Linked DNA regions of Tamandua tetradactyla. The protein of the gene in region 1 purifies or fractionates together with the protein of each later gene. This does not show direct contact. Links are inferred from orthologs where the notes say so. Each region holds a gene or a part of one and is shown on either strand. Other genes may lie near its edges.

Evidence for each region. The genes of interacting proteins can lie anywhere in the genome.
Region 2: the proteins of AP2M1 (region 1) and ITSN1 purify together in Homo sapiens (affinity purification with mass spectrometry; 3 studies listed by BioGRID and IntAct, counting the BioPlex papers as one, with this or other methods). This does not show direct contact. The link is inferred for Tamandua tetradactyla from reciprocal best matches to the Homo sapiens genes AP2M1 and ITSN1.
Region 3: the proteins of AP2M1 (region 1) and RALBP1 purify together in Homo sapiens (affinity purification with mass spectrometry; 3 studies listed by BioGRID and IntAct, counting the BioPlex papers as one, with this or other methods). This does not show direct contact. The link is inferred for Tamandua tetradactyla from reciprocal best matches to the Homo sapiens genes AP2M1 and RALBP1.

Annotation. Positions count from the first base shown.
Region 1 is NC_135336.1:2,441,933-2,449,250, forward strand, and holds the start of AP2M1 (AP-2 complex subunit mu), read left to right. Parts: upstream 1-4,263; 5' UTR 4,264-4,377; intron 4,378-6,310; 5' UTR 6,311-6,353; coding exon 6,354-6,427; intron 6,428-7,318. Other genes in the region: DVL3 (segment polarity protein dishevelled homolog DVL-3), read left to right, coding at 1-62, 151-587.
Region 2 is NC_135336.1:94,020,344-94,028,414, forward strand, and holds the start of ITSN1 (intersectin-1), read left to right. Parts: upstream 1-5,028; 5' UTR 5,029-5,417; intron 5,418-8,071. UniProt on the Homo sapiens protein: Adapter protein that provides a link between the endocytic membrane traffic and the actin assembly machinery. Acts as a guanine nucleotide exchange factor (GEF) for CDC42, and thereby stimulates actin nucleation mediated by WASL and the ARP2/3 complex.
Region 3 is NC_135344.1:73,019,253-73,026,505, forward strand, and holds the start of RALBP1 (ralA-binding protein 1), read left to right. Parts: upstream 1-4,210; 5' UTR 4,211-4,272; intron 4,273-4,305; exon of another isoform or gene 4,306-4,359; intron 4,360-7,253. UniProt on the Homo sapiens protein: Multifunctional protein that functions as a downstream effector of RALA and RALB. As a GTPase-activating protein/GAP can inactivate CDC42 and RAC1 by stimulating their GTPase activity.

The sequences.
Region 1 (7,318 bases):
TGGCTTCCCAGAGCTGGGATACAGCTATGGCGGGGGCAGTGCCAGCAGCCAGCACAGTGAAGGTAAGGCAGAGGGGGGTGTGGAAGGGAGCTGCAGACGGGCTCCCAGCTCGCTCTACAGGATTTCAGCATCCCTACCCGGCCCCTGCAGGCAGCCGGAGCAGCGGCTCCAACCGCAGTGGCAGCGACCGGCGGAAAGAGAAGGACCCAAAGGCTGGGGACTCGAAGTCAGGCGGCAGTGGCAGCGAGTCAGACCACACAACACGCAGCAGCCTGCGGGGACCGCGGGAGCGGGCTCCTAGCGAGCGCTCGGGCCCGGCAGCCAGTGAGCACAGCCACCGCAGCCACCACTCGCTGGCCAGCAGCCTCCGCAGCCACCACACGCACCCAAGCTATGGGCCTCCTGGTGTGCCCCCACTCTACGGCCCCCCAATGCTGATGATGCCCCCACCGCCCGCAGCCCTGGGGCCCCCAGGGGCCCCCCCGGGCCGTGACCTGGCCTCAGTGCCCCCAGAACTGACCGCCAGCAGACAGTCCTTCCGCATGGCCATGGGAAACCCCAGTGAGTTCTTTGTGGATGTGATGTGAGCAGGGCCCCTCACCCACTGCCAGCCTTTCCCACCCTGCCAGCTGCGTCCCTCTCTCCATCCGTCCATCTTTTTTACTTTGGTACCTGAAAGGGAAATAAACGGAACTAAATCCAGACACCCTAACTGCTTATGGGGTGCTGGGAGGGTAGAGTATACCCACCAATTGGCTCTGCAGCCCCTAACCTGCCTTTGGCCGGGCTTCTGCCCCCTACCCACTAACCTCTAGACCGGACTTCCCAAGATACTTCATTTCTCTGGCCTGCAGGTGATTAGACATGCTGTTGCTGCTGTTCACACCTTACCCTCCACACACACTTTAGGAGCTGACCCCAGCAGAGTCCCGGGATCCCTGCTCACCCCACCCCATTCTTTCCTTTTCCCCCTCAGGTCCTTTTCACCGTTCATTCAGCTACACCAGCTCCCTGTTAACCCACCTTCTCAAGCATGTGTGCAAATCTCTTGACTTTGCCCCAGAATGCTGCCACCCAACTACCACACACAAAAAAATTTTTTTCACTTCATCTGCTGCCCCTAACTTTTCCCTGCCTGCTGCCTCAGCCCTGCACTCTAGAGCTATAGTCACCTCCAGTAACCACCCATGCTGTCCCTGCCTGTGCTCAGCCCTGACCAGAAGCCCAGAGGGTCCCTCAGTTGCTTGAGCTGCTATTACATTCCAGCGAGCATCTCTTCTCAATTTCCCTCCACTCCCCGCCGTGCCTGGCCTGCGTGCTGGCTCCTTCAGACTCCTAACATTACTAACAAACAGGCTCGTCTCACCTCTGGGCCTGAAATATTTCTTTTCTTTGTTTTTTCCTTCCCCAATTTTTCCTGGGCCTGGAGCAGCCAAGAATTTCGGGCTGTTTGACTTTCTGTGAGTCGACAGCGAGGGCCTCCGAGGAGACCAGGAGCCCTACTTCAACAGCCCCTCAGGGCTCCCCAAGGATGTCCAGCCCCCACACCCACACTTTCAGCCTATTGAGTCACTAGGCTTCTTTGGGAGGGCCCCAGCCTCTCACCAATCACCTTTCCAAAGTGAATGTTCTCTCTCTCTCATTCTCTCTACTTCTCTTTTTCTTTCACACACACACACCGCACAAGGTGGCTATACAAGTTTGCTTAATCTCAGGGCTGGTCCCTGCTCAGAGGACTGAACCCCTCTTTTCCAGTTCTTTCCCAGGTTGTGGGGCCGGTTCCCTGACTTCCCTCTCCCCTCATCATAGTTGTAAAGCTTCCCACACTCATCCTCTCATCGTCCTACCTGGATAAGGCCCATAAGCTGGCTCTAAGTGGGCTCAGCAGAGGACTCCCCAAGCAACCGACAAAGGCCATTGTCACCACTACCACTCTGCCCCCACCATACACACACGCTTCCTTGTTTCCACATTAACCATGACCCCAGAGCAAGGACACAGGAACACATGAGACAGTTGAAGTTGGACAGGGGAACTTTTGGGACTTCTAGACAGTGCCAAGTTTTCTTGTATTACTTTAGTCTCTCCTTTAAACAAATCATAACTTCTTTTTAAGTCTCTGCCATAAAATCTCCTGGCTCACCTACACTCACCTAGGTCGGAATGTTAAGAGTGAGGTGAAGTCCTTCGTGCCAGGCTTTGGGGCAAACCAAGGTAGGAGCGTTTTGGCATTCATTCATTGAACAAATACTTCCTAGAGTTTTGGTGAACAGAGGGCTGTGCTGGAAGTGTGCTCAGTCTTCCCTGCCCTCTGGGAGCTCTGGGTTTGCTCCTATCCAGGGCTATGGCTTCCTCTAGCCACACTACAGGGCTGTCTCCTGTACTTCTCTTCCCTTTCTGACTCTGCCTTGTTCAACTCTCTTGAGAATTCCTCCACTACTACACAGGTCTTTAGTATCGGTGCCCCCCCTCCCCAAGTTCCTTCTTTGGTCTATTTCTCTTTCCTTTCTACTTATTCCCAAAATGGTCATTGATTGTCCTGTCCTCAATTGCCACTGATATGCTGGTGGTTCCCATATCTGTCCAGCCCCAACTTCCCCACTAAACTTTAGATCTGTATTCTTATTATCCACTGGACTCTATGGACATATCCATGTGGACTCAAGTCATCATCTTCCCCACCAAGTATGTTCTTGAATTCTATCCTGGTTATCTTTACCACATCTACAAAAGCTCATAAACTAGAACATTTATGGGCTATAATTCCTTCATCCCATATTTTACCAGTCAGCATATCATATCCACTCTATTCCAGCAATCTCTATTGAATTTGGCCCTTCCTCTCCCCTCTGCCTCTACTTTAGTGCACTGAGTATGGGATTTGGAGTCAGATCATTCTGGGTTTGAATACCAGCTCTACTACTTTTCAGTCATCCCCTTCTAGGAGAATCATTTAATCTTTCTGAGCCTCAGTTCCCTCATATGTAAAATGACGATAATAATACCTACCTCACAGGGTTGTTGTGAGGATTTAAATTAGATATTGTACGAAAAGTGCCTAGCACAGTGCCAGGCACGTAGTAGAGTAGGTGCTCAATAAATGGTAGCTATTATTATTACTGTTGTTATTGTTACTATTATTGACTGAGTTGGCAGGAGTTTAAGAGATATGTGTGGAAGATAAAGCTTTTGGAAAGGTGGGACAGAAGCCTTGAGTGCTGGTTCAAGCTTCAGAAGTGCCTGTATTCACTTATTTAGTGATATCAGGCTGTGATTATGGTTTGAGGGAGGCCAGATCATCCTGCCACATTCTAGCTTCCGGCAGGAGGATGCTAGGGATGGTAGGGTTTGCGACCAGGTTTCTTTTCTTGCCCTTCCTTCCTCCCAGGACAGGCTCAGCCCTGCCCAGGGAAGGCAGGATGCCATCTCTGTCAGATGAAGAAGAGCCAGCAGATTTCAGTCAGGTCCTGCAAAGGCCAGGCAGGCATTTCCTGTTTGAGGATTGGCTTTGTCTCCTCTCAGCTTGGATGTGAAGATTAACTGTCCATCAAAGAGAGGATTTCAAATCCCATGCCCAGTTGAAGTCAACTCACCATATCTCTGAGCAATATATATTTCTGTAACTAGAAGGCATACAGGTCCTGGCCTTGAGGAGCTCAATCATATAGACATAGCTGAGATAGAACATAGACTTATCCATGAAAAGCTCAGCTTGTTTCTTCCAAGTATTTGCCCCCACTCTCCTTGCGGGTCTTGATTCCTGGAAAAAGGTACGTTATTGGACCAAATATATGATGAAAAAGCTTAGGAAATCAGATTCGATTGCCTATTAGAAAGCGGTAAACTTCAGCACCCACTCTTTACAGCCAAATCGTATGTTTGTGTGTAAAGTAAGGACTGCCAATCCTCGGACTCCGGAGACTGAAAAGGCCTACAATAGAGTGCTTAACAGATGGGCTTCAATCAAGCGGCATTAATCCTCTAAGCCGCTCCAAAACAGGGGTAAAAGCAGAGACTACAATTCCCAGAATGCCTAGTGGGGAAAATAGGGTGGGCGGGGCGGCGTACGCGGGGATGTGTATTTCGGACGGGATGGAATAAAGGCTACGCCCAAAGGGCGGGGCGCGTTCCCGAAGGCTGTCGGTAGTTGTAGTTTTCCTAAACTTAGACCTCTCACAACTTAAGCGAGAAGGCCGAGGGGTCTGACGGGACTTGTAGTCTTGGCAGAGGACGAACGCGCACGCGCAGCAGAGGTCGGGGCGGGGCCGCGGCACTGCGGTGAAAGCCGAGGCAGCGGGCTGGCGAGCAGGGGGCGGGCGGACATCTTGGGATCGCTGGAGTGGCCCGGCCGGCCGAGCGGGGGGCCGCAGACACCAGGTGAGAGCGGGATCTGGCTTTGAGGGGTGGAGAAAAGCGCCGCGGGTCGCCTATCCAGCCGCCCAGCTTTGCCCTTGCCTGCACGGCGCTACGCGGAAAGCTGCCCACACCCAGGAGTGGCCTCAGCCCTCGGATCCGGGAGGGAGCTGACGGCGAGACTCGGGCGCCCCGGGCGCGGTTGCGGGATGGTCAGGGAGCGTCCACCTGACCTGCCTGGCGCTTCGTGGGAGAGGGAAAAGCACTAGAATCTTCCCAGAGCAAGGACACCGCGCGGCTCCCCCCTCCCCAAGATCGTGACAAACCTTCTACCCCTCGGCGCCTCCTCCTCTCGGCGCAAGGACGTTTCTCCCATCTCCTAGGACAGTGACACCCCCCGATCCACCTCCGTGAACTGTGACAAGTCTCCCAGCCCCGGCACCCCCCTCCTCCCAGGGTCTCAGTCCTCTGACACAGCCCGCACCCCGCTGCACCATCTTTTCCCGCGGCGGTCCCTGTCCACTGGGCGGAAAGCCCACTACCCTCTTACGCCTCTGCACCCAAACCGCAGAGCAGACTCCGTCTCCCCAGCTTTCTTTTATTCACTGTTGTCAATCTGTCCATACCGGGTTTTCCTCCTCAGCCCCACCTTTTCCAGACTAGAAACTCTTTCCTCTAGGCGCCTTCGTAGCTCTACTTCCCGCTGTATGGGTTCACCTGAGTATGCCGCCTGGCTGTGGCTGCTGGTCTTCTCCCTTGGCTAAATATTCCATTCCTGTCCTGGGCCCCAACTCTGCTGCTCTGGTGCCCTGGAGCTACCTACCACTTGATACCTGTGAACTTCGTTCTTTGCCGAGGACTCTCCCTCCATTTTGCATTTCCTTTTCCAGCTTCTTTGGGACTGCGGGCTGGGATGTGTCCACCACCCTGAGAGACTTCTCACTAGTCTGGTAGACCTTGATGGCCACAGTAAAAGTCTACTTTCCAGTTTAGAAAAGCCTGCTAAACTCTCCCCTATGAAATTAATACCAGGGCTAACCTAGGAAATCTAGAACCAAATTAACTCTTTTTCTCCTCTCAAACTGTCTAAATTAGTTTGACCCAAATAATTTGGGTAATTCAAGAATATCTGACATCCTTGCCCCTTTCTTATGGGCACTCAGACTAGAAGTGAGTTAATTGGTGGGTCTGAATAACAGAAATTCAGATGGGAAAATCAACCTCCAACCCATCCCCTGGATTTAAGAGGGAACCTCTCATTTTGAAAATAACTGTGGTAAGCAAAGCTTGGGTCACTGAAGTATAGTCTGTCTGTCAGGGCGGGGGCTCTTTTGCCTGCTTATCTGACTGCCTGGGAGAAGTTGGGGCCACACACTTAGGTCCATGTCAGGGCCTGAAGCCTCCCTTCTCTCTTCCTCCCTCACCCTGCACACCCTTTCCTGGAATGTGTAAGCCTGTGGAATTAGAGAGCTGGCAGTTCTGGCCCTGCTGCCTTCTTAGAAGGGTAGTAGATCCTGAGAGCTCCTAAGGCTGTGCCTGGGGGCCCCATGCCTGAACCAGCTGGAGTAATTCCTACCGCCATTCCTCCAGCCGCAGTGACTCACTAACTGGAGCCTGAATGAGAATCTGCACAGGAGGGGGCCAAAAAGGAGCCTCTCTGAGCTCAGTGATGTGAAGAGGGGGAGGGGGCCACCGTCTGGGCTCAGCCCCAGAAAAAGGAGGGTCAAAATGGCCTAGATCCTAGGCCCAAGTCCCTCGCAGTCTTTTTCGTCCTTCCAGTGTGGAATAAACAGGAACTGGAGCCTGGCTGAAGGGAGGGGCATGCCTGGAAGGGCTGCAGGATCACTTGCTCAAGGATTGAGTCAGGAAAAAAGCCCCACCAGTGACCTGCACCACCCTACAGGGAATGTTGCAGGGGTTCTTAGACCTTCCTTTACCCTGTCCCTTCCTGTCCTAGGCCTGTTCTAAGAGCAATGGACTGTGGAGACTGAGCTGCCGCCATGATTGGAGGGTTATTCATCTATAATCACAAGGGGGAGGTGCTCATCTCCCGGGTCTACCGAGATGACATCGGGTGAGTCCTCTGGCTGAGCCATCTATGCCCCTACTACCCCTGCCCCTCTCCTCAGCATGCAAGACTAGGTTTATTCCTAGCAGAGGCTTGACTTGTACCACCCTCGCCCCTTGCTGCATCCTGGAAGCTCAGCTAGTACAAGTTGATTCCCATTAGGTGTGCTGGCCTGGCACCCAGCTTGCAGGCTGCTAGGTGAGACTTGTAGAATCGTGTAACTGCCTCAGGCTTAGGACTCCTACCCTTCATGCTTCCTTGTTTCTCTTAGTGACAGACCTGGTTGCTGGAGGAAATGAATGCTTTTTCCCAGGCAGGTTGATTCCTCCTCTGAGTGGAATTAGTGGCCAGGCTGCAAGTCCTAATCCAACTAAGTCTTGTTCTCAAAAGCCCTTTTCACATTTCACGGTGGGAGCCTTCACTGGATTCTCTCAAAAACCTCCCCAGGCTGCCAAATCCTCCCCACCCCCCCTTTCTCAGAAGTAGCCAGGCTGCTGATTCAGCCATTTTCAGTTCCTCTAGGCCATTCCTAGAGGAGAGGTCCTGAGCAAGCCTGAAGCAAACCACAGTCACTGAGGGAAAAACAGGAAGGCCTTGCTCCCTTTCTGGCCTATATGAAGCAGACCCAGAACAGTTCTTTGTCATGAGTCCCTGAGACTACAACAAGGAACCAGAGCCTCACCTCTCATTCTGCCGCAACCTACTCACCACTGTTCTTTTCTGAATGAGGGGTCATAGCCTAGCCTCAGCAGCTCTAATGAAGCTAGGCTTTTCTGGTTCCTCCTGCCGTTTTCCTCCCTCAAAAAGCTCGGGATAAGCAGTGACAGAATGGATATGTTACAGAGCCCCTAGCTCCTTGGTTTCCCAGCTGACAGGCTGACTTGGCCATGGTGGCTG
Region 2 (8,071 bases), about 92 Mb from region 1:
ATTCAGGCATTAACACTTTCCTCTGTATTAAGTTATCAATCACAAAACCTATTTTTCCTTTATAATGTCCTGGCTCATCTGCTCATTTTCAGGGGCCACCCTTACCTCTGTGCCAGTCTGAATTTGTGCACCCCAGAAAAGCCATGTCCTTTAATTATCATTCAATATTGCTGGGCAGGAGCATTTTTATTGTTCCCATGGAGATGTGACTCACCCAATTGTGGATAACTTTTGACTAGATGGTTTCCATGGAGATGTGTCTCCATCCATTCAAGGTGAGGTTTTGTACTGGAGCCCTTTAACAGGGAACCATTTTGGAAAAAGCTACAGAGCCCATGCATCCAGAGACCTTTGTTTGTGAAGAAGAAAAATGCTCCCAGGGGAACTTCATGAAACAAGAAGTCAGGAGACAAAGCTAGCAGATGCTGCCATTTTCACCATATGCCTTTCCAACTGAGAGAGACACCCTGATGTCATAGGCCTTCTTGAACCAAGGTACTTTCCCTGGATGCCTTACATCAGACATTTTTACAGCTTTGCTTTAATTTGGACATTTTCATAGCATTAAAACTGTAAACATGCAACTTAATAAATTCCTACCCACCTCCACTCCCCCTTTTTTTAACCATTCCGTACCTAGTATATCGCATTCTGGCAACTTGCAAACTAGAACCACCTCCTAACAGTGATTTGCTGATTAACTCAATGCCTCAGGCTTGGGTTATAGCCACTGGCTGCTGCAAGGCCAATCAACATGTTACCCTATGGTCATCTTATTTTCTGAAGGTCCAAACTCTTTTTGTTTACATGAATATATTTCTATTATTGTCCAACATAAACTCTGCAATACTAAAGTTACTTTAAGTTCGGTGTTCAGCCACCCTCGTTTTTTATTTTAAGGAAATTAAAATGTCAAGCAAATAAGCTACAGAAAAACAAACGGAGTTAACTCCGAAATGTTACCCCATCCACTCAGGTCATCAGTTCAGGCTCTGGCCAGCTGCATCTCCAATGCTCTATTCCCCATCCCACCTTAGGACTGGTGAACAGCATGATACTCGTTAGAGTTTTAGGGTGAAATTTTCACTTATATTTTGATCACTTGGGAAGAGGTGACAATATTAAGTTTGAACAATGTTTTAATTAACCTGTGAGATTTTTCATATATATCCACAAATCAGAAAAAGATATCTGTCCAAATATTTGGTTAAAAAATATGGTCAGCATAATCAAAATCAACAAAGAGGAGGTTTGGTTCAAGTAACACTTTGCAGGCTGTAGAGAATGGTCACCCTAACTAGATATGCCAACTCTGTTACTTAAATCAAAGAGGGAGGGGAATAGTCTTAACTGCCGGAAAACTTCTGAGCCTGGTGTAGGAAACTTTTCTGTCTTTAGAAATCTGTAAACTCTAAGGAGACTGTACAAGCAGTGACCCAAGGTGATATTGTTTTGCTGCATACAATTGCACTGCTGTTACAAAATGGCACAGGGGACCCTGTCTCGCTTGTATCTAACTGAACTCTAGAGTGGTCTATTTCAGGAAGGACTTAAACAGAGCCTGGGTAAGCACTTATGGAGGCTTCTTAAAGGGGATTCAAGCATCAGTTGAGGGGGAGAGGGTGCTGAGAGGACCATTAAGGTCTCTTCTAATTATGGCAATCTAGGTTCTTATGAACATTAAGATATATTTGACTGAATGGATACACATGTGGCATAACCTATATTTTTATGCAACCTGATACAAAAATGGATGAAAGGGTGAAAAAGCAGAAAAGGAAAAATATTCTTTTTGATATGAGCTTTAGGCAGAAGGAAAACAGGCAACTGCTTAGAAAGGATGTCAAATTCTTTTTCTCTGTGCAATGGCGGTTCCCAGCATGTACTTAGTGGCCCCTTAAAAATAGCAGAAAATTCATGACTTTAATCCCTTCCCCACAATAACTGTTTTTACTTTTATTATCTGTTCATGTATAAAACACATTTTCACTTGGAATCTAGGATTTCTTACATGAGGCACTCTCCTGCCAGCAGCTCTGGGGATGCGGTGCAATCGGAGGTGGGTGGAGAGGTGGTGGGATGGTCCTTTTATCCAGTTTGTAATCATAAAATGGTCAGGTTACTAGTGTTCACTGTAGGGCCATTTAACATTTTATGATCCAGAACAACAGAAACTTAACTTTCTCTTACATTACATTACTCAGTACCATATATTCCCGTATGCTATCATTGGGGAATGACAGTAGGAGGGACAGTTTTCTCTTTCTGTTTTACTCATGTAACACAGGGACATTATAGGTGGAGTGTGGTGGTGTTGAGGGTGACAAGCAATTGAGGGATCCTTCCTATTTGTCACCAAACTTCTCTCCCTTCAGCTGCTAACATTACAGCAGACTGTATTATTTAATTTTCCAATTCACAATAAAATATTGCGGAAACAAATCTTGCTTCAGGTGCAAAATATGATTTACGTTCAGTTGAATATTCACAATAACTGCAAAATCAACAGAAAATAATTCCATAGAAGATGTATCATTTATTATAATGTATAAAAAATAGAAAATTATTTTGCAAAATACTGTAGTTTATTATGGGTGGATACATGTGTCTATTCTTGCTCCTCTACTCAAAAAACTCTTAGTTCAAGGGAGTACTGTTCACTGGGTCTAGAAAGAGCACAAATAACTTTTCTAATGTCTCTGAAAATAGTCTTCATGAAGATCACAGGCTAAGGACAAGAAATTTACTTTTTAACCAATTTTTAAAAGAACAGAGTTCAAAAATAAAATCACTGTGATTCCATTAAGAGCATTTTTAGAATTCCCAGGTTCAGCGGCCCCACCTCCTTCTTCAAGGCGATACACAAATTAATCAAGACTCATTCCTGGGCCAGGGGCCCAAGCAACTAACTTTGCTTTCAAATGCACAGCATGCAAAGTTGTGAAACTACCAAAATATTTCACTGCACCTGACAGGCAGCTTGATTTTGTAGGGGGGAGTCCACTCCACTGAAAATACAAACATCTGAATCCCTCCCATAATAAGCTAGAGCAATGAAGTAAGATTAGCAGCAAAAGGTAATAATTATATACTGCAGGGGTAGGTAGATAGGATGAAGAAATTATTAAATGACTGAAGTTTGAATCCTGGCTCCCCTACTAACTAGATTTGACCCTAGGCTACCTTCTTTTAATCTTGTTGGGCCCTAGTTTCCCCATGTATAAAAAGGAATAATAATAGTAGTTACCTCAGTGGGTTGCTGTGTGCATTACACAATACATGCAAGGCCCTCAGTACAATACCTGGCATAAAATAAGCATTCAATAAATGTTCGTTATTTCACTATTATTTCTGTAAATTGGGCAGAGAACCTCAAGGTAGTTCTGAACCCATCCATCTCATCAGCAAAGGGTTTGGTCAAGTGCAACCTGACCTTTTCAGTTGCTATTATATCATCTGCACCTCTGCTATCCAATCACAGTAGTCAATAGCCACACGTGGCTGGCTACTGAACACCTGAAATGTGTTCAACTGGAATTGAGACGTGCTGTTAAGTGTAAAAGATACACCGGATTTTTAAGACTTAGTAGGAAAGTAAATTAAAGCAAAACATCTCAATAAGTTTTAACATCGATTACGAGTTGAAATTGTATTTTGGGCATGTTGACTTAAATGAATAATATATTATTAAAATTTATTTCATGTGTTTCTTTATACTTTTTTTTTTAATGTGGCCACTAGAAAATTTAAAATTACCTAAGTGGCTCGCATTATATCTATCTGTACTGGACAAAACTGATGGAGAACCTAATGTGGAACGGCGGCCCCTGGGCGCTTGGTAGAAAAGCAGACTCTCGGATCCGCTCCCGACCTACAGAACCAGTACTTGTACCTTAACAAGGTCCTCCGGCGATTTTTAAGCATCAGCTGTTTACCTTAAAGAAGTGGGCAAGGGCGGCCTTTTAACCACATAAATGGAAATACGCTCTGGTAACTGTTTAGCGAATAAGAGAGCAAGCGGAGGGAGAGAAGCAGTAGGGGCGGGGGGGAAAAAAAAGAAAAGAAAAATTAAATGAACAAAAAAAATAGAGGGGAAACATCCAATCTGCGAGACAAATGGAACATCCAGGCCTCTGCGTCCAGAAGAGGGGAGGGAAATGCAAAGTGAAATAAAACCTGCAATTAGTAACCTGTGAAGGGCCAGGAAATTGCCCGTGAAATCAATCAAGCCCTACCCGCCCCTCTGCGGCCTTAGCTTATTAGCTAGGCCTGGACGTAAGCGGGTCTGAGGCTGGGCCGCGACGTGAATCACCGTCCTCCCGGAGCTGACGGTTCCGCGCTGCGCCTCTCGACCTTTTACCAAAACCCCGATTTCCAAGCCGACACAGAGCGTTTCCCGGGACTCACCTGCCTCTAAGCCGCCCCAACCGCCTGCGCCTTCGCCACAGCCACCTTCCAGGGCTTTCGCAGACAGGCCGCACCTTTGGACCAAGGCGCTGTTCCTATTGGCCACCTCGTTCGTCACTCCTACGGGGCTGAGCCGGACTCCCGAAGGCTGTCCAGAACGCCCTAGCAACCGAACTGGGAACTACAATTCCCGGTATGCTCAGCTCGTGAGTTGTGGTCGCCTCAACGAGTTCCATTTTATGCAAATTTAAATCGAAAGACCACACCCTTCCTCATTCCAATCGTATCTCCTAGAGCCTTCCTCAAATTGTGCCTTGCCTCCCTTTTGTCGCCATAATTTTCTCCCCTTTAAAGCCTTCTGTAATTAAGTTAGTTGGATACACCCTATCTAGTGTTTCGAACGGCAACGGACAGAAGCACAAAAATCTCCATAAATGTCGACAGTAAATGCCCGGACCAGAAGCCTCCAGTTACGCCTTCGTGGAGGGGGCGGGACGAAAGAGAATCCTACGCCCGCCCCATTTGAGAATGCTGATTGGTTTATTCGGCTGTCGCTCCTACCTTTTCCAGTTTCCCGGCTCCCCCACCTTTCGCTCCCGTGGCGGGCGGGGCTAGCGATAGGGAGCGTGAAGAGGGGAGGACCCCTTCTTATGATTGGTAGGCTAGATGTCCCCGCCCACCTATGGGCGGAGATGTGGGTGGGTAGATAGGTGGGGGGGTGAGGCCGACGGAGAAGAAGAGATAGGCGGGGGCGAGGGAGGGAGCGAAGGAGCGAAGGAGCAAAGGAGGGAGAGGAGCAGAGGAGCGAAGGGAGGAGGGATCGCAGCTTGGTTGCTCCGTAGTACGGCGGCTCGCTAGGGAGAATCCCGTGCGGGCTCCGGGACGCACGGATCGGCAGGCGGGCGGGCGGGGATGTTGTGCGGGGTTGTGGCTCCTGAGTCCATCCGCGCTGCGGGTGAGCTGCACTGATTTGTCCCCAGGGCGGCAGCGCGGACCCGCCTGGAGATGAGGTGAGGAGCGGGCTGGACTGCGGCGGCCTGGACCGCGGGAGGCGGCGGCGGGGGTCGGCGCGATGGCCGCCCGGGGCGCCCTACCCACGGCCGGCGCGCGTTCCTGCCGGCCACCCTTCGCCCTCTGCCGCGCGCTGGGGAGGTGCGGCGCCGGCCGTGCTCCGCCTAGTTCTTCCCGGTCCTCCCTGGGGCCGCGGCGGGGCGGCCGGCTGACCGGCGCCGGGGACCCGTGGGGGTGGCGGCCGCGGGACGGACTTCGCGGGGAGTGGGCGCCCTCAGCCCTGGCCGGCGAGCGACCTCCGTCCTTGAGGGGCGTCGGGGGCGGTGGGTCCTTCCAGGGCTGACCTCGCTGCCCTCGGCCGCCGGAGTGTGGCGGGTTGGCGGAGCCTCACCTCCCCGCCAGCCTCCCGGGGAAGCGGGACGCACGGGGAACGGTATCTTGCTGCCCGCCTCTCTCACCGCCTCTCCGGCCTCGCGCCGTCGGCTCATGCCTTCTCCTCCTGCCTCGTGCGCCTGCAGAATCCCTGTCATTGAAGGGCAGTCAATGCCGTTTGGCCCCAAGCCTCCCTGCCTGGGCTGACTGATGGTATTTAACCAAAATCAGCTCCCTTTCCAGTGCCACTTCGCCTTCCCTCCTTTACGCACAGACAGGGTCTTATGGTGTGACCTCTAAGGCACGACTGCGGTCTTTTCTTGCCTGAACTAAACGAGGAAATGTAATTAGAGTCCCCAGGAAAAGGAAACCAACGAGGAAGAGGCTGTACCTTCCTTCGCTCTGTCTTTGGATGAGAAGATAACTTCGTAGATTGCATTTCCTACGGGCATCTTTTGTCGTGATTCAGACGCTGAAGAAAGCTTTGCTTTTGAAGAAATAGATTAGCGGTTTCTGTAATTGAGTATGAGGCGGTGGAGATTTTTGATTGCCTCAAATATGAAAGTTTTCTTAAAAACTTTGCCGTCATCGGTGCTATTCTGAAAGCAGCATCCACCTGAAAATTTAAATGTATGCAGACTTGCGTTTCTTTGTGCCCATCTGTTGGCATCCTGCTCTTACTACTTTCGTGGTCAAAAAGTATTGATTTAAAAGCAAGTATAATAAAAGCTACAGATAATAAAAAACAAGTACAATAACAAACACATGCCATCTGGAAGATGTAGCAGGGAGGCAGTTTTACTAATCCGGTTGAACCTATGAAGAAACAGGCTCAGAGATCTTATTATGGGTTTTGTAGAGGACAGGGTCTGAGGGCTAGAAGTGGGCCAGGGTCCCAGCAGGTCAACTGCTTTGCGTGGTGCTACTCTTAACCCCTAAAATAATGGTAAATGTATTTGTTGGGTTTTTATTTTTAGATGACTTTAAAGTTGATAGTGCAGAAGCTTAAAGGCATCTCAAAATTATTCCATCTCTGAGAACAAATACTATGTTTAATTTTTTTTTTACTTGAAATATTTAGGTTGTTTCGATGGGTGATTGCTTATAAATAAAAACTTTTTTTTTTTAAGTATTGAAGAACTCTTTCTGCATGAAGGTTTGCAAAGAACCCAGGAATTTTAAAGTAATCTAAGTTAATAAATGAGGGACACTAATTTGGTGATGGCATTAAAATTATTTCAAATTCCTTTAAGTAGCTCCAGGAATGGGCATTTCTGATAGAAATTGCTAAGGCACGTGGTACCTTCACAAGACTCTATTATCATTCTGCCTGAGTAAGAGGAAATGAACACATTTTTAATGTACTTTGGAACCCTGTGGATTGTTCAGATACTAAGCATTGTGAAATAGGGCATAAAATGAGTACTAATAAGTTAGTTCCATGAAATGTTTGTCACTCAGCATTTTTTTTTTTTGCAGTTCACTAGGAATTTCCTTTTTCTTAATACTTATCTCTAATATTGGTAGATTTCTGCTAAGCTTACTGTTTCCCCAGATGCTTAGTTTGAGAAACTCAAATCTGTAAGAGATTAAGGAGGAGGTGCTGGTAAATTCCTCTACTCTTACCTGTCTTCTTAATTTACTAAATTTGTGAATTATAGAACATTATATTACTGAGGACAGCTCACATTCCACTATTGTAGAGCTTTCTTAAGCTTTTTGTTTCTTCTAAATGATCAATCCCTTCTTACTCACTTAACTGTTTGAATTTCTCAGTGTCTGGACCTCTCAGCTTACTTACCTCAGCGTTAACTCAGGTATGTGTTAAAACAAAACAGGTTTCTGTCCTGAGCTCAGAATCAGCCTACCTGGGAGTAGGGCCCTGGAATCAGTATTTTCAACAAGTTCTCCAGGAATTTTTCTTGTATGGTGAAGTTGGAGAGCTATTGGCGTTGCATCCCATCCTCACTGAACACCTCCTAAATTTTATTTGGTTTTTTAGGACACTTAGAACCATGTTCTGAAGTGTATAACGTGCCAGAATAAGTTATATACCTTAGGCTGCGAGTAGAAACCTTTTGACTGTGATTGCCATCTTGGTAGTGTTCCTGTAATACACCTTTCGGAAGGTCAGAGACTGTCTGGCTCACCAAGTATCTCTGCTTCCTAGCAGAGTGCCTGGAGTAACTCATTTAAATTCCTGTTGAGTAAAGAAAGGAGTGAAGGACGGACATCACAGTAAAACCAAGGTTTGCCACCTTTGCTTGTGAAACTGATTTTT
Region 3 (7,253 bases), on another chromosome or scaffold:
ATTCTTTTAACTGTTTTCTGAAACTTTGAGAAGATGTTTCTGCCAGTTCTTGCTCGTTGTGCAAAGCTTCTGTGAAGAGACAGACATCTGAAGTGTCTCATTCCAAGATTGTCGGAATTTATGATTGGTATTGCATTTAATCTGTCGATTGCTTTGGGAAGAATTGCCATCTTAATATTTAGTCTTCTGATCCTGAACTCAGAATGCCCCTCCATTCATTTGGGTCTTCTTTAATTTCTTTCAGCAGTATTTTGTATCTTCCCACATACAAGTCTTTAGTTAAATTTATTCCCAGATACTAGTTTTTTCAGTTGCTATTGTAAATGGAAAATTTTTCTCAATTTCCTCTTCAAATTGTTCATTACCTAGTGTTTTGAAACACTACTGATTTTTGCATGTTGATCTTGTGCCCTGCCACTTCGCTGAATTTGCTTATTAGCTCTAGTAGCTTTGTGTGGATTCTTCAGGATTTTCTATATAGAGGATCATATCATCTGCAAATAGGGAAAGTTTTACTTCTTCCTTTCCAATTTGGGTGCCTTTTATTATTTCTAATTGCTCTGGCTAGAACTTCTAGTACCACACTGAATAGCAGTGGTGACAGTGGGCATCCTTGTCCTGTTTCTGATGTGTCTGCTGTTTTTTAATTCTGATTTAATTCTGCATCTGCATAGCTGAGTGGTCAGATAATGATTTGGGCAAAAGTTTTACTCAAACATCGTGGGTTTGTAAATCTTCCTCCCTCTGCCAGTAGATCTTTGGGTGGATTAAGAGATGCAATCAAAGTTGCCACCAGTTCTCAAGTTTCCCTTGGCTTTCAGCTTTCAATGGGTCCCTTCACTCACCTCCATGCATGTGAATAGTTTCCCAGCCAGCCAGGGGCATTTAAAGAACTTATTTTAGCCCTCAGATGAGTCTATTACCGATATCTTCCTGTTGGAAGATGTTTCTGGTTGCTTTGTCATTTGCCCCACTTGTAGTTAGCAAAATTGTGGGTTTTCCACGTTTATTTTCACCCGAGCATGCAAATTTTACTGTAATACTGTGAATTTTGACTTCCCACAACAAATGTAGTCCATCCCCTCTTGCAGCAAAGCTGCTAATCTTTTTGCTAGCCTGGTCCACCATGGTAAAACTAGAATTCTGGTTCAATGGAACGGGGGCAATAGGACTGGATTAGAATAGCCTCAAGCAAGAAGGTCGCAGATTTCCTGTTTTTTTTGGAAGTTCTAGCAGGTTTCCAAGAAAAGATACTTCAATTTGTTCGGTTGATTTCTGGTGCCCTGAAATTGCTGTTTTGGACAATTTTGTCTAGTTTCATACTCGTTTTAGGTTCAAAGGAATTGCCAGTCATGTCACACAGTCATAGACAAAATCCCTTTTATAATTTATTCTTAAGGGGCCTTTCAGTTTCATGTAAAAGAAATCTAATTTGAATGAGGTAAGACTTTCAGAACTTTGAGTCACAGAAAACCCAACACAAACTGGCTTAACCAATATGGGAATTGTATGGCTCACAATACTGAACAGTCTATAGGCACAAGTCTTGCTTCAGGTGAGGTTTGATTGTGTAGCTCTAATGGTGTCACCAAGAGCAAGGTTCTGTTCCATCTTTCTGGTACTTATTTGACAGTATTCGTGTCATCCTCAAGCTCAACCAACACCTTCCCTTTTAAACCCCATGCCTCCAGGCTCTCTCTTTACAGGTGCAAAATGTTACCACATTTTTCAGTTCTCATATTCGTAGACCATACCTGTGCTGATTTGAATCGGTTGTGTACCCCAGAAAAGCGATGTACTTTAATTCTCATTCAATATTGCTGGGTGGGACCTTTTTGACTTTTTCCATGAAGACATGACCCATCCCATTGTGGGTAGTAACTTTTAATTAGATGGTTTCCATGGAGATGTGTCTCCATCCATTCAAGGTGGGGTTGCTTACTGGAGCCCTTTAAGACGGAATCATTTTGGAAAAAACTTTGGAGCAACCAGAACCAAAAGAGTCCACGCAGCCAGAAACCTTTGGAGATAAGGAAGGAAAAAGCCCCTGGGGAACTCCACGAAGCCAGAAGCCGGGAGAGAAAGATAGACATCGTTATGTGCCCTTCCAGCTGACAGAGAACCCCCAAACTTCATCAGCCTTTCTTGAGTGAAGGTAACCTCTTGTAGGCACCTAAATTTGGACATTTTCATGGCCTCAGAACTGTAAACTTGTAATTTATTAAATTCCCCCTCTAAAAAGCCATTCCATTTCAGGCATGTTGTATTCCGGCAACTTGCAAACTAACAACATCAGAACATAAGAAAGCTGCACTTTCCTAGAGGCCCCAACACAAGTTTCTGTGGGATTCATTGACTCTGACTGGGCTATACATATCTCTCTGAAACTATCATAATTGTCACAGAGAATGGATATGCTGCATGGCTTAAATGGGAGGAACAAATATTTGGGAGGAAACTAACAAATATCTTCTATAATCACACACATTAGCCCTTAATAATAATGAGTACATGAATGAATATATTGAGTCATTAGACTCATAGACTCATAGCACATAGAGACGAGTTGCAGGAAATACCGGCTCTGAGCCCCAACCAACTGCATACATGCTACGAATTGCTTTCTCTCCTCCATTTCTCCTTTCTTTGTTCTTTGCAATCTCAATTGGCCACGTTCATTCTTACTGCAAACAGATATTGCATGGAATATAATCATCAGCAGTGACCTCAGCAGAAACCTTTTTTCTCCCTTCTTTGCGTCCTTTCAGCAACTTCTGGCATGGACCTAGCTTGGGTCAGTGCCTGTTCCTTGGCCCAATCAGCGTTGCCAGAGCACAGGGTCTAGTGATATGAATGATTACATCCCTACCCCAGTGGTCAGAGGAAACTGTTGTTTCCAGAAGCAGTGATGAGAACTTTTTTGGGGCAGTCTGAAAAAACAGTGGCTACCACAGACCACCTCAGCATCCAATTGTGGGAAGCTCTTGCGTGTAAGACTGAGGGGGGCGCTGAACTTTACTGGGTAGGACATGCAGAGTACAGAAGATAAATCTGTACTTAGATTTGAGAAAAACTGATCTGGGAGGGATAGTGTCGGCTGATTGTGGCCTGCCAATCCAAATATATAATGAAGTTTTAAAGAGAGCAATGCAGGTAGTAAAGGAAGCGACTGGGTACGACCATCTATCTGTCCCAAACCCCACTTCTTCCCTAAAAAACTGCCTACTTTCATAAAGCAAGAACAAGTGATAAGACCCTGCTTTCCAGCCCTCAATGTACATTAGAACAATTCTTCAAGTCCTTTACAAAGGACTTTTCTACGCCCTCGGTTCTGGAGGAAACCCAACTATTTCCAGTTCTACCGGTGCCTTAAATATGCAGCTGGGCAGTTCTTATCCAGGTGTTTCGTAAACGTGGCGCCAAAGGGATGGGTGGCGGGCAGGCAGCTGTCCGCTGCCCCACAGGGACCAAGGAATTTTGCAGACGATCCCGACAGTTTTTACAAGTCTCCCCCCACAAGTCCACGTCGCTTCCTCTTCCCAAAACCCCCAAGCAAAAGAGTTCCCACCGAAATGAACGGTCCCCCGCCCAGCTGAAGGCCAGGATTTCGCCCCACCCTGCGGCAGGCTGGGCCGGCCTCCGAGGCTGGTTTAACCGGTTAGCACCACTGAAGCCCGCTGGCAATAAGCAAGGGCTGGACTTCGAAAGCCGAGGACAGGCGGCTCAGGACGCGGAGGGACCACCACGGGAACAGCCCCCAAACCACCGCCGTTCACTCCTTTTCCGGGCAGGCAGCCCACCCAGTTCCCAAGGCCGCGCACTGCGCAGGCGCCGGCGCAGGACCAGCGCGTCGCGCACACTCGCGCTCTCGGTGACCACAGCGCGCCCGGGGCCGCAGGGCGCGCGATGCTTCCTGGGTATCGTAGTGCACACCCTCCGCACGGCGTCCTCCCGCGGCCCGAACGTCGGGTTTCCGCGGACTGCGCCTCCCAGCGTGCCCCGCGCGAGGGGCCCTCGACGGCCTTAGCCGTCAGCCTGCAGCAGCAGGACACCCGGAAGCGGCGCGGGGAGGGAGTGCGCCTGCGTGCGGGGCCGGCTCGTCCCGTTCCATCCCAGTCATTGTAAACAGGCGGCGGCTGGGCGGGGTGGGGATGGGGTTCCTGAGGCCGGCCAGGGGCGCGGCGCGGGGGGCGGTGACGGCGGCGGCGACGGCAGCGTGAGCGCGAGGTGGCGACGGCGGCTGGGGCGGCGGTCGCGCGGCGGCGCGCACAGGTCAGTCGTGTGGAGTGGTGGCGTGCCGTGGTCGCCGCAGAGCCCCTCGCGTACCCAGGGATCCTGCGGCCCCGGCCTCGCCCCGGGGTCTGTCAGGCGGCGGGCGGGGCTGGTGCTGACCGCTTGTCGGGGTTGGAGTTGGGGGCTGGGGGGCGTGGCTGCCCCGTGAGGGTTCCTCCCGGGCCGGGGTGCTGTCCCCCCTTGCTGTCTGTCCCGTCCACTGGCCGGCAGGCCTCCCCTGGTGGCATCCGCACGTGCGGTGGGGTGCTCTCTGGGTGTGGGGGGCCTCCGCCTTGCTTTCCCGCGCGGTAGGAGAGCCCTTCGGGAGCACGCTGAGCGGAGGAGAGGGGACTCGGACCCTTTTCATCATTGTTATTATCTCCTAGTTCTTACCCGGAATGTTGACCCTCGTCCAGCGCTTGCTCAGGGGACTGGAGATAGGCGCTTGATTTGTGCCCCGGCGGGTGGTGGAGCCCCGGGCTCCTTCGGGCACGACAGCCCTTAGTTCAGGTTTCAGTGGGAACGGACCGACAGATTTGGAGTTGAGAATGCTTCTCACGACCCGTTCTCAAGTGTGCATGTGCCCAAATGCTCTGCAATGAGGTCAGCTTTTTAAAAATTATTAATTTAAAATTTTTTTAAGTTTATCGTGGCCTTGAGAATGAACCAGGCTTTACAAACTATTCCAGCCTCAGCTTTACCTGAAGTAAGTGTGCTGTTTCAAGTTTTGGGATTCCTTACTACAGAGTCGCCCTCTTGAGCAAGCAGCGTGTTTCCTCTACGGCCTACTCGAGTTCTTGAATGTGATTAAATTTTTAATTCGAAGTGTTTTGAACGTGCATGTAAGAAAAGTACACTCGTTTGAACAATGAGTTACACCTTCCGGCAGGATTAGAAACACTTTCACTGACACTTTTGGTTGGTGGAGTGGACGTATTCTAATGTTGCAGTACGTTGGGCTGCACTCCAATATAGTGGGGCAGATATTCACAAATTAAGTGGTGCCAAGGAATAGGGCCACTTTTGGTTTGGAGCCCATGGAGGCAGCATTTCTAAATGAATAAATGGGACTGTAATGAGAAAGGTAAGATCACATCTACGTTTAGAATTATCTTAGTGCATTGATGTTTTCTGAGTATCTTCCTCAAAATGAGTAATTAATGTAAGCTGTGTCAGCAGTAGATGGGGTAGGAAAGAAGTCGGGAGAGTGGTTCCTGCTTTTCTGTCTGACCCATAGCTGCCAAGTCTGGCAGACTAATTTGAGTAACTATTGACAAGCAATTCTTTAAACAAAGTATCTTAAAAACAAAACTACATTATACCTAACTTGCTAGCTCTTCAAAATATTATTTTTCATTATTGATCTTACAGGGACCTTTTCTCCCTTAATGTAGAAAGATTAAAAATATTATTAGAAAATGCATATTAACTTTAATTTGTACCCTTTATCTCAAGGTGAGATTTAGGCCCAGAATGTAACCTGAAAGTATCTTCTATTTTGAAAGAAAATCTCTAATAGAAGCTTCCATTAGATTATGTAAGAGAGGACAAGGAAAAATGCAGATTATTTAGGGTAGAGGAATTATCGTGCAGCAGGTGCCATGCCAGGTAAAGAAGACTTAAAGATGAATAAGGCAGTATCCCTGCCTTCAGGATGGTGAGACTGTATCCCTTACTTGAACTGTCAACAAGCACAATACTTTTTTTGTTTTATCTTTTTGTTTTCGTTTTTTGTCGTTGTTGTTACTTTTATTTTTTTGTTTCAGTACAATACATTTTTATGAATACTTTGATTAGAAAAAAAAGTTTGTGGGTATGATGTGTGTACAAAGGAGATAGCTATCAGTTTCTCAAGGGAAGTGAAGGAGGAATTGAAGAAGAGGGGGGTGGTAAGTAAAAATATATATACAGATATAGAAAGGATGGGCATTTAAAAGGAATAGTGTGACCAAAAGTATGGCAACCTAGACATGAAATTGGGGGTGGGGTAGGCAGAGACCAAATTATGGATTTATGTCTCATATGTCATCAAAGTAATTTCAACTTTATTTTGTAGGCAAATGGGAGCCATTGAGACACGACAAAGAAGCGAGACCTAAGCCAGTTGAACCTATTTTTAACCCCCTCCTATGTGTTAAAAATTAGATGCTTTACAGTTTATGCCATTAAAGTTAAAGAAAATTTAGACATGACTAAGGCAGAAAAGGGAGGGAAAGGGACTTCAGGCAAAGAGAAAGTTGAACAAAGACAAGAGGGAGAGAGAGAACATAACACATTTATGAGAATGAAAAGTTGTTTTCTGTAGTAGAATTGGATTTGTGGTGTTGAGTAGCAGAAGATGAGGCTATACAGATAGATCCTCAAAAGCACCACATGCCATTTAAGAATTTTAGACATTTTTTTTCCTGTAGGTAATGATAGAGTATAGGAATTTTAATCAGTAAAGAAACATTGTAAGGTTTTCATTTGAGAGTGATCATACTGGTATTAAGGAGTATACTTTTCAGAAAGAATGGAGGGAAAGTGAGGTTGGATGCAGAAAAACTGCTTAGGAGGTTTCTGCAGTGAATGAGGTGATAGAAGGATCTAAACTAAGGCAGTGTCAGTAGGATTACAGAGGATTAGGTTAATAGAAATATTCAGTAGGTAGAATCCATAGGACTTGGTGGCAATTAGATTTGGGGAGTGAAGGAGAAATAGTAAGATAAGATGACTTGGATTTTAATTTTGGTGATTGATTAGACAGTGATGCAATCTAGTGAGTAAGGGAATTTAGGAAAAGGGGCAAATTTGAGGAGAAGCAATATTTTAGCTTTTGTATATATTGAGTGAAGCATCCATGTGTAAACATCTGCTGAGTATGAATTTAAAGTGGGAGAGAACGTTCTGGCTATGAGGGTCATCAGCTTAAATATGCTGTTAGATGAAGTCTTTGAATTAGGTAATACTGTGTACCGACTGAGAGAAGTACTAGAAGTAGA